2 linked regions of the Neurospora crassa OR74A genome follow. The protein of the gene in region 2 interacts with the protein of the main gene of each other region in a pairwise test. Links are inferred from orthologs where the notes say so. Each region holds a gene or a part of one and is shown on either strand. Other genes may lie near its edges.

Region 1 (4,098 bases), on a different chromosome or scaffold from region 2:
AAGAACGCGCGCGTTTACGATGGTTAGCAGGAAGCATGATACCCTTTTTTTCGACATACGCATGGTCTTTTTTTAGAGACCGGGAAGAAGGGGAAAAGTGCGTCCTTCTTGGGTTCTTAATTGGGTTTGAACGGGCACGGGGCAAAAGCTTAAAAGGGCATCTGCGAATGGGCTAATCAAAAAGGAGAGTGTTAAACGGGCAGAGGCCTGGGAAGGGGAGGTGTTCTTTTGCACAATGTTTGTTTTTTCCCTGGACATAGTTTGGGATTTGGGCTTGGTTTATACGGTTGAACCAAGATCGAAGCTCGGGCATTTGGGAAAAGTTCCCCGGACATGGCGGCTGCTTGTTTTTGTCTCCTTGGCATCCGTGGCGCGCGAGACGGAATTGTCTGAACTGAGGAATCCAATCAAAAACATTTCAACTTCGTTATACTCTTGATGTCTTTTGTGCTCGATGACTCGTGATTCGATGTGTGTGTGTGTGTGTGTGTGTGTGTGTGGCCAAACAAAGTAGTGGACTAGGTCCTTTCGGTAATCGAGTACCTATCATGAGAGCATGGCATGACAAGCAAAACATCGAAGTGGCAAGTATACATTTTCGACTTTGTAATTATCGTAAGACTTGAGCTATTGATGTTCTGCGGTGAGCTTTCCAGGATTTTGGATATGTTAAGACTATGATATGATGTGTAGGCTTCCATTCCAACACATGTGGTGGGTGTTGCCGTGTGTATGATAACTTCCAGGTCAAATCTGTGTGTGTCCCATTCATCTCGATTCAAAACTTAGCATTGTCATGATACATCGTCGTCAATCATCACTACGACATCAACTCCTCCAGGATAGACTCCAGCTCCTCTTTCCTAAAAGGTAAGCTCAAGTATTCCGTCCCTATCGAGTCCTTGTGACTCGTAATGATTTGATGATCGTGGAATCTGTTTCCGTTCTGTTAGCCGTTGTCCCTTTAAAACCAAGAAAATCATCTCCACAGCCAAGTCACAACAGAGGGAAGAACATACTCCTTTAGCAGCGTCCTAAACGCCATTTCCGAACTGCAAATAAACTCCTCCACAGCCTTGTTGTAAAGCATCCTATACTCTACCCCCGGCCCTTCTCCTCCCGCTGCAAAGTCTCCTGCCCCTGATGTACCACCACCACCACCACCACCGTCCTCAAAAGCCACCAAAACCTCCCCCACAATCAGCCCAAACAATTTCCTCGCGTTCTCGGGTAAACTCCGCAACACAAACGCCACTCCTTCCTTGCCACCCGCTCTCTTGCCCATCCTACCCAGTAACTCGTGTACTTCGTCTACTACGTCCAACTCTTTGCTGTGGTCTGCAAAAGTGGTGCAGTCGTGAAATGCAAAGTTGAACGAGGAGCGTAAGCTAGAGTCCCAGAGCAGAGGGAAGTCGGGCGTGTCGACTGTGCAAGCGAGAGAGATGGCTGGGTGTGAGGAGAGATGGGCGAGGAGGGATTGCGTTTGGGGTTTGCGGAGGGGGGAGAAGGGGGAGTCGAGGGAGGCTAGGAGGAGGGTGATTCTTGGCTTTTGAGCAAAAGAGGAGAGGAGGGTGAAGAGGTTTTGGATCATGGCGAGCGGGTTTCCGGAGGGTAGGCGGAAGGTGGGGTCGATGGCGGCCGAGATGGTGGTGAGGATCTCGCGGAAGGTGAGGGTGCGGGTGTGCCCGTTGATCATGATGATTGTTGTGTTGTTTGTGTCATTACCGCCGGAGGAGGAGAAGAGGTACTCGGCGAATTGGTGCAAAAGTCGACGCTTGGAGCCGTAGCCGTAGAGGCAGACGCTGAAGCCTTGGGAGAGCTCAAAGGCCCATTGGGGGAAGGAGGCGGCGTGTTGCGACTGGAGGGCATCGATATGTTTTTCGTGGGGGTCCTGACCCAGGTTGCGGAGAAGCGAGAAGTATTCTTCGTGGATGAGGAGGTCGAGCGAGGAGAGCGTGTTGTTCGAGGTTTTGTTGGATCCCGGCTTGTTCTGGTAAAAGTATTGTTCATGGGGAGGGAGGTCTCGGGGTGGTGTGGGCGATTTCTTTCGTCGTGCTAAACCGGGGGGTCTGCCTCCTCGTCCTCTCCCCCTCCCTGTCTTGGATGGAGTGGTTGCTGCTAACTCGGCCTCTTGGTCGGCGAGGTTTTCTTGTTGGGTGTCCCCTTCCTCTTCTTCCTCGCTTGACTCGTAGATCTCTCGTGCGATTTGTTGCTCTTCGTCCTCGTCATCGCTTACGGCGCCCTCCAGCACACGGTCGATGAGAGCCCTGGCACTCTTCCGTCTAGCCGATCGGTCGGCAATTCCTCGCCTGCCGGGTGTGTCGACGCCACTGATTCCTTTGAGCTTGATCGGTGTCTCGTCGACTTGTTTCTTGCGCAGGGCGGATGGTGTGCTCGGCTTGCCACTTGGTGTTCCTCCCGTCTTGGCCTTCGGTGGTCGCCCTATCCTTTTCTTGCTGGGTGTCTGCTCGGTAGGTGACTCGGGTTCTTCTGGCACAGAGGCTAGGTCGCGCTGGAGGAAATCGACCTGTTTCCGCGGGGTGGCGTTTCGCTTTGAAGGTGTTCCTCCATCTTCTGGTTGTCGCCGTTGACGCTTTGCGGAGGGAACCGCATCATCCTCATCTGGAACTTCGTAGGGGTCGGCAGGGAGTGGCCGCTTTCGAGAGGGGCGTTCGACTAGATCGTGCTGATCTGTTGATTTCCGACGAGGAGGCATACCGTTTGTGTTATTGGCTTTGGTTTATGTTGTCCAAGTTGTATGGCATGCCTTGGAGTCCCGCTGTACCTTTACCCTACCTCTGCAATTCGAAGTCTACGGGAAACTTTTGTAAAGTCAAGACGCGCTCGCTTAATTGAGACGCGTTAAGCTGTACATACGCCCGGGATGACGCTACCTACCTCTAGATGGGAAGACAGCAGGTACCTGCTAGAGAGTACCTGCGGGTAGCAGGGTTCGCTGCCTACTAACGGGGGCAAGCCAAGCCCCTGTCTACCACCACATACGCTACCTCTAGGTACTTCGCGGGAGGGTTATAGGTGGGAGAGTTCATAGGCTTTCTTGCAACCTCATGTCATCTCAACCAAACAAACTCCAAGAGGACTATCGCGACCAATATGTCAAAGCTCAATCTCAATTTGTCTGCCTCATTGAACATTTTCAAGCTTATCGCCAAGCCTTCACTATGTCTGCCCCACGCTACAGTTCCAACGTTCAACGACCTGCCCATCCCTCTTAACAAAGCCTTCTCCGGCAATGGCGAGAAGAAGGTTGACATAAAGGCTGTCGTGCTCGACAAAGATGACTGCTTTGCCTATCCTGATCACAATGAAGTGTATGAGGCTTACAAGGTGGGTTGTCTCTCGTCCCAATTCCATTCAGGAACGCTTTGACTGATTAAGCCAAGGAACGCATGGAGGCTCTACGAGCAGCATACCCAGGACGCCGTCTTCTGATCGTTTCCAACACTGCTGGTGCCCTAAGCTGGGACAAGGACGGCCAGATGGCATCCGCAGTTGAAAAGGCCACCGGCATCACTGTTCTCCCCCATGGTGTGAAAAAGCCAGGCTGTGGAGACGAGATCATGTCCTACTTCCGTGCCCACCCGGAAACCGGTGTCACCAGTCCTCACCAGATCGCCGTCGTGGGAGACCGACTGGCCACTGACATGATGCTTGCCAACATGATGGGCAGCTATGGTATTTGGATCAAGGATGGAGTTGTTCCCCACCAGCAGAAGAGCATCGTAAGTGAAACCCTGCAACCAAGCTGCGTGATAAGCCAAAGTCTTTTGCTGACTGGGATATGATAGTGGTCGAGAGTTGAGAGGACTGTTGCGCCCTTCCTTGTATCCCGTGGTTATACCGCTCCTGAGCCAGTGAGCCCCTTTGAGTAACTGCATTTTGTGCTTCTCCAGGGAAAGAAGACAGCGTGTAGTAATGTATGTTTTCTGCATATCCCCAGTAGCTGAGGTGGGTTCTTCTTTTCTTTCGCATCTGTGCCCCATTCTCTTTAATTGTTCCGACGTCGTTGTTCTCCTCTACGTTGTGGTTGTGCCCTTTCCCGATGTCTTGCTCGTTGTGTCCATTGCCTACGAAACA
Region 2 (4,283 bases):
AGTGGATCACCGTTTTTGTTGTTTTCTCTTTCGCTAAAGCCGTTTCTTCATAACGACCACACAGTAACTGACATACATCTTCTCTCCTTGTATCATTCACACCATGCACCGAGCTTGATTGTGCGCAGAATCCGATATCTGGAGAGAGCAGCAGCAATAGAACAGTAATGATAAATTCCGTGCCGAACCGTGGGGGGGGGTAAACAATGAGAAACCGCAACCTAACCATACCTTTGAGGCCCTCTGCACGGAGGAACATGAAATAAAGAGATACCTCTACGCCTCTCTCCCTGATTTCCCTTGACACCTGGCGCCACCGCAAAGAAAAGTTTGAGCGTGTAAATAAGGAGCAGTGCAAAACAAAAACCTGCCATGCCGGAAAGATGAAGGAAAAACAAAAGCCAGCCCGTCGGCGCGGACCAGGTGATTAACCCTCGCCGTGTTTCCTAGAGCCGGTTCCCTGTGCATCAAGCAGGTAATAGGATGCTTTTTTTTTTGAGAGAGAGAATAGGAAAATTGGACGAACGCGGTCTCCATTGGGTTCAGAGACAAAAGGCATACCGTCATCTATAACTTCATGATATGTCGTCAAGCGCTAGCGAGATCCAACCGCATCGTAGCCTCTTTTGAGAACATTGTATGGGCCAGAACCCAAATGCTAGCCCGTGAACGCAGCTGCACCCAAACAAGCTTAAGGCAGCTGGTCAACGGGGCGGTCCTTGAGCTTGTCAAGTGGGATCTCGGCGTCAACAACGCCATAGAGAACAGCGTTCTTCTTGGCCCACTGCCGAGTAAGGATGGAGGCTGAGAAGATGTCAGAATAAGATTACGAGACAAGCAAGGCCGGTTGTTTGACATACCTTTGAGGAACTTCTTGCTGCCATACTTCTTGAAGAATGCTTCATGAATAACGGGACGGGCCAGATAGTCAACCATGAGATGGAATACAGGCTCGATCTCCTCCTCGGTATAGCCAGCATAGTAGGCGATAGTCTTGTCCTGTTATTATGAGTATTAGCCACAGGATGATATGGCGAGTATTATAAATCCATCTGTATAACTTACCCATTCTCCGCGGCCAAGGATCAATCGTGCCAAGTACATAGCAGCAGCAGCGACATGGCTGGGACGGTAAGGCATGAAGCGATGGTCCAGCAAGCTGATCTCCATCAGGTACTTGCCAAGGGTACGGGATTGAATATCGTAGTTGTCTGCCTTGGAGATGCGGCGGAGAAAGTTCATAGGGTTGGGGTAGCTAAGGTCGTAGTTGAGGGTCGATAGAATGAAACGCTCAGCACTGAGGATCTCAGCTTCAGTAAAGCCGTCATCTGCAACGTGGCGAAAGTTGGCAATATGGGGGGAGAGGACCTCCTCGTACTTGGAGGCAACAAACATTGCAGTGATACCCACGAGCTGAAGACGATCGAGCTGGACGACCTTTTCGCTCAAAAAACGATCGATGATGTTAACGGCAAGGAACAGCGTCTCGGGCAGCAGATGAAACCGAGTATGAACTTCAATGAGCCAGTCGATGAGAATGCCACGAGTCTTCCACTCGAGGTCGTCCTGGTGGCTCATGTACTGAGGGTTCGGCACTGATTTGCACTCGAGGTCGCGGAGGTACTCGAAAATTTCCGTCGCATACTCGGCAACCATAAGAGGATCCTCGAGGTCTTCAGTGTCAAGGTCCTTAACACCTGGCGGATACACTGACTGAACAGGGACGACATCGCGGACGACGGGAGCGGGGGGCTCGGCCATCGGCTTCACAGCCTTGGAGGGAGCATCGTTCTCCTTGGCCTCAGTCCTGGAAACCTTCTTCTTCTCGGGCTCTTCGACGTGGATCTTCTTGCGGGCCGGTTCATTTTCAACAGGTGCTGATTCCTTGATAGGGGCGAGCTTGGATGTGGACGGAGGAGGCTTGCGCTTGGCGGGAATGGTGCCAGCACCAGCACTGGGGCCGACCGTCTTGTTGGGCTCTTTGTTGGATAACGCACGGCGGGCAGTAGTCGCAGTACGGCTCGTAGCAGTTGTGGTCTTCTTCTGGATGCCACTCGGCTGGGCCGCCTTCGAAACTAGGCCGGGCTTCGCAATCGCTTTCTTCGTTCCCGCAACTTCAACCTTGGTGACATTGCTGACGTCGCCCAGTGCATTCCGCTTACCGACAGTGCGAGCGGCAGTGGCGGCGGTGGTTGTCGAAATCGTCGTCTTTTTGGTCTGCATGGTTTTCGCGGGCATGGACAATTCGTCGACATGGAGAGTGGCCGCCTTGGCCCTCGTCATACGTGTCGTGGTTGCTGTACTGTTCTCGTCATTTTCGTTCGCGAGTGAACGCGGGTTCCTCGTCCGCTGCAGGGTTGGGGTTGAGTTAGTACAAACATAGCATGGCTGTGGACAACCAATTGCATGATTGAACGACAATGCCAACTGTGCAGTAAAACTTACAAGATTCGGCATTCTCGCCTAAACCTATGCTGGCACAGAAATTGATGTGAAATGTGTCTACTGACGGGGAGGTCAGCTAGCTATTTGGATGTTTCGTTTTTGGCGAAGTTCGAGGTGGAGAGACTGGTTCTTATTGAAAGACCGATCCCTGTCACGGAGGGAGGGTTGACGCGAACGACGAGCGAACGACGAGGGAATTGTGAACACGGACAGTCAATGAGACTAGACGCACCGACTACAGAGCCCAAAGATGTCGGGAAGAATGAACACCGGCGGTCGGCAGTGATGTCGCTGTCGGCACGTTGTTGAAGCCGGAGATCAACCCTGGGTCCCGCAACAGAAGGTTGGCTGAGACCGTGAAGGATGTGCTGTTGTTGATCGGGAATGTTGCCCAATTGGTGACGACGGTCGGGGCAAAGCACGCAATGGCGACGTCCGGAAAGATTGACTGATCGAGGCCAAGGGTTGCCGTCGTGATGGCAAGGCCTTGCGAGTCCAGGTGATGCGGAGTGGGAATGCTAGTTGGCGGACGGGAAAGGGAGGTATGATGTTTACGAGGCAGAGAAGAATGGGAGTCTTGTTTTTGCGAGGTCTTGGTGGAGGTGCCAGTGCCAGTGCAGCCCAGTGGATGGGGCTGGAGTGCCAGTGGACGGAGCGGGCGTGTGGACACCCACCCAGGTACCGGATCGGACGTGCTGGGACTGGGGCAAAGTACCTCTAGTGCCCTTCGAGGTCACTAGTGCAGCGAGGCTTTGAAGCTTTGAAGTCCAAGACACCGGAAAGGGAACAAAATTACCACAACAAGTGATGACGCGCCGTGCAATATGGGCTTCTGTCAGACGCACGTCTTGCTGTTCCCTGCCTTGCTAAGTTGTCGAATGATGAGGATGCCGTTGTCGAATAAGCAAGTCGAAAAGGTTGTACTGCCGAAGAAATGCAGGCTTCAATGGCCGGAGTCGAAAGTTGCTGTTGTTGCTGTAGCTGAAAGTCGATTGTCGTGCGTCCAGGGAAATGGTTGTTAGTCGGATGGTGAGTGTCGAGTTGCAGAATCCGGAGTCGAGAAAGCGGCCAGGAAATTGTACTTGGGCCGGGCGCTGTTATGGAGCACTGCAAGCAGAAGGGACAAAGAAGGGTCGCACCTCAAACACGCAGTGAAGGAACTGAAGGCGGCAAGGCCACCACAGGCCACGTCCCTCCCTTGCTGTCATCCGCCCGCCGTCAGGGCAACACTGGCAACCGCAGGGCAATTCGGTCAAATCAGCTTCTGATTGGTTTAAACTGTCCAACAGGCTGCGCGTGTCCAGCAGCTGTCAACACTAAGGTACCTTACCTATCCTGGGTCAGACGCGACTGGAACCTTGGGCGGGCAGGAATGGAGCACGATGCACGCTCTTTCCCCGCGCCGCACTGCACCTTCACGCGGTGATGACTTGGTGCCTTCCTCCCGCGCCCGCGTTTTGGAGCGCTGTTTGCAGCACTTGTCCCCTGGAAAGAAACAAGGCTCTTCACCAAAGGGCAGTGGCTGCACCACACAAGCCACACTATTAGCAGCCACAATCGTCAGGGATCGCAAACCAATGCACGGCTGTGATTGGCGCATCAGCCGAGCAATTTTCCACAAGCAGTTATCGACGACAAGCCGGCGACGAGAACCTCGACGAGCAGCCTGCGAGGACGTCGCATTCCGGTTGCTGGAAATCGCAGCAACTGTCCCCTCCAGCACCCTCACCTCCCCAGAGCTCACCGCCAGGAGCTTGGGATATCCGACAGCGATCGAGCAGCCATGCTGCAGCCTCAATTCCGACCCCTCCTTGCGGGGACAGCTTCCTTTGCCCAAA

Evidence for each region.
Region 1: the proteins of NCU02758 (region 2) and NCU01370 interact in a two-hybrid assay, tested with the Schizosaccharomyces pombe proteins (2 studies listed by BioGRID). The link is inferred for Neurospora crassa OR74A from reciprocal best matches to the Schizosaccharomyces pombe genes cdc13 and orc2.

What each region holds. Positions count from the first base shown.
Region 1 is NC_026505.1:3,801,182-3,805,279, forward strand, and holds NCU01370 (hypothetical protein), read right to left. Parts: upstream 2,844-4,098; 5' UTR 2,717-2,843; coding exon 1,020-2,716; intron 936-1,019; coding exon 821-935; 3' UTR 598-820; downstream 1-597. Other genes in the region: NCU01371 (UPF0660 protein, variant), read left to right, coding at 3,115-3,348, 3,405-3,743, 3,810-3,893.
Region 2 is NC_026501.1:3,457,509-3,461,791, reverse strand, and holds NCU02758 (G2/mitotic-specific cyclin-B), read right to left. Parts: upstream 2,826-4,283; 5' UTR 2,458-2,825; coding exon 2,446-2,457; intron 2,350-2,445; coding exon 1,066-2,349; intron 1,000-1,065; coding exon 861-999; intron 805-860; coding exon 692-804; 3' UTR 504-691; downstream 1-503. Other genes in the region: NCU16375 (hypothetical protein), read right to left, coding at 1-259; NCU02757 (mitochondrial 54S ribosomal protein RML2), read left to right, coding at 4,229-4,283.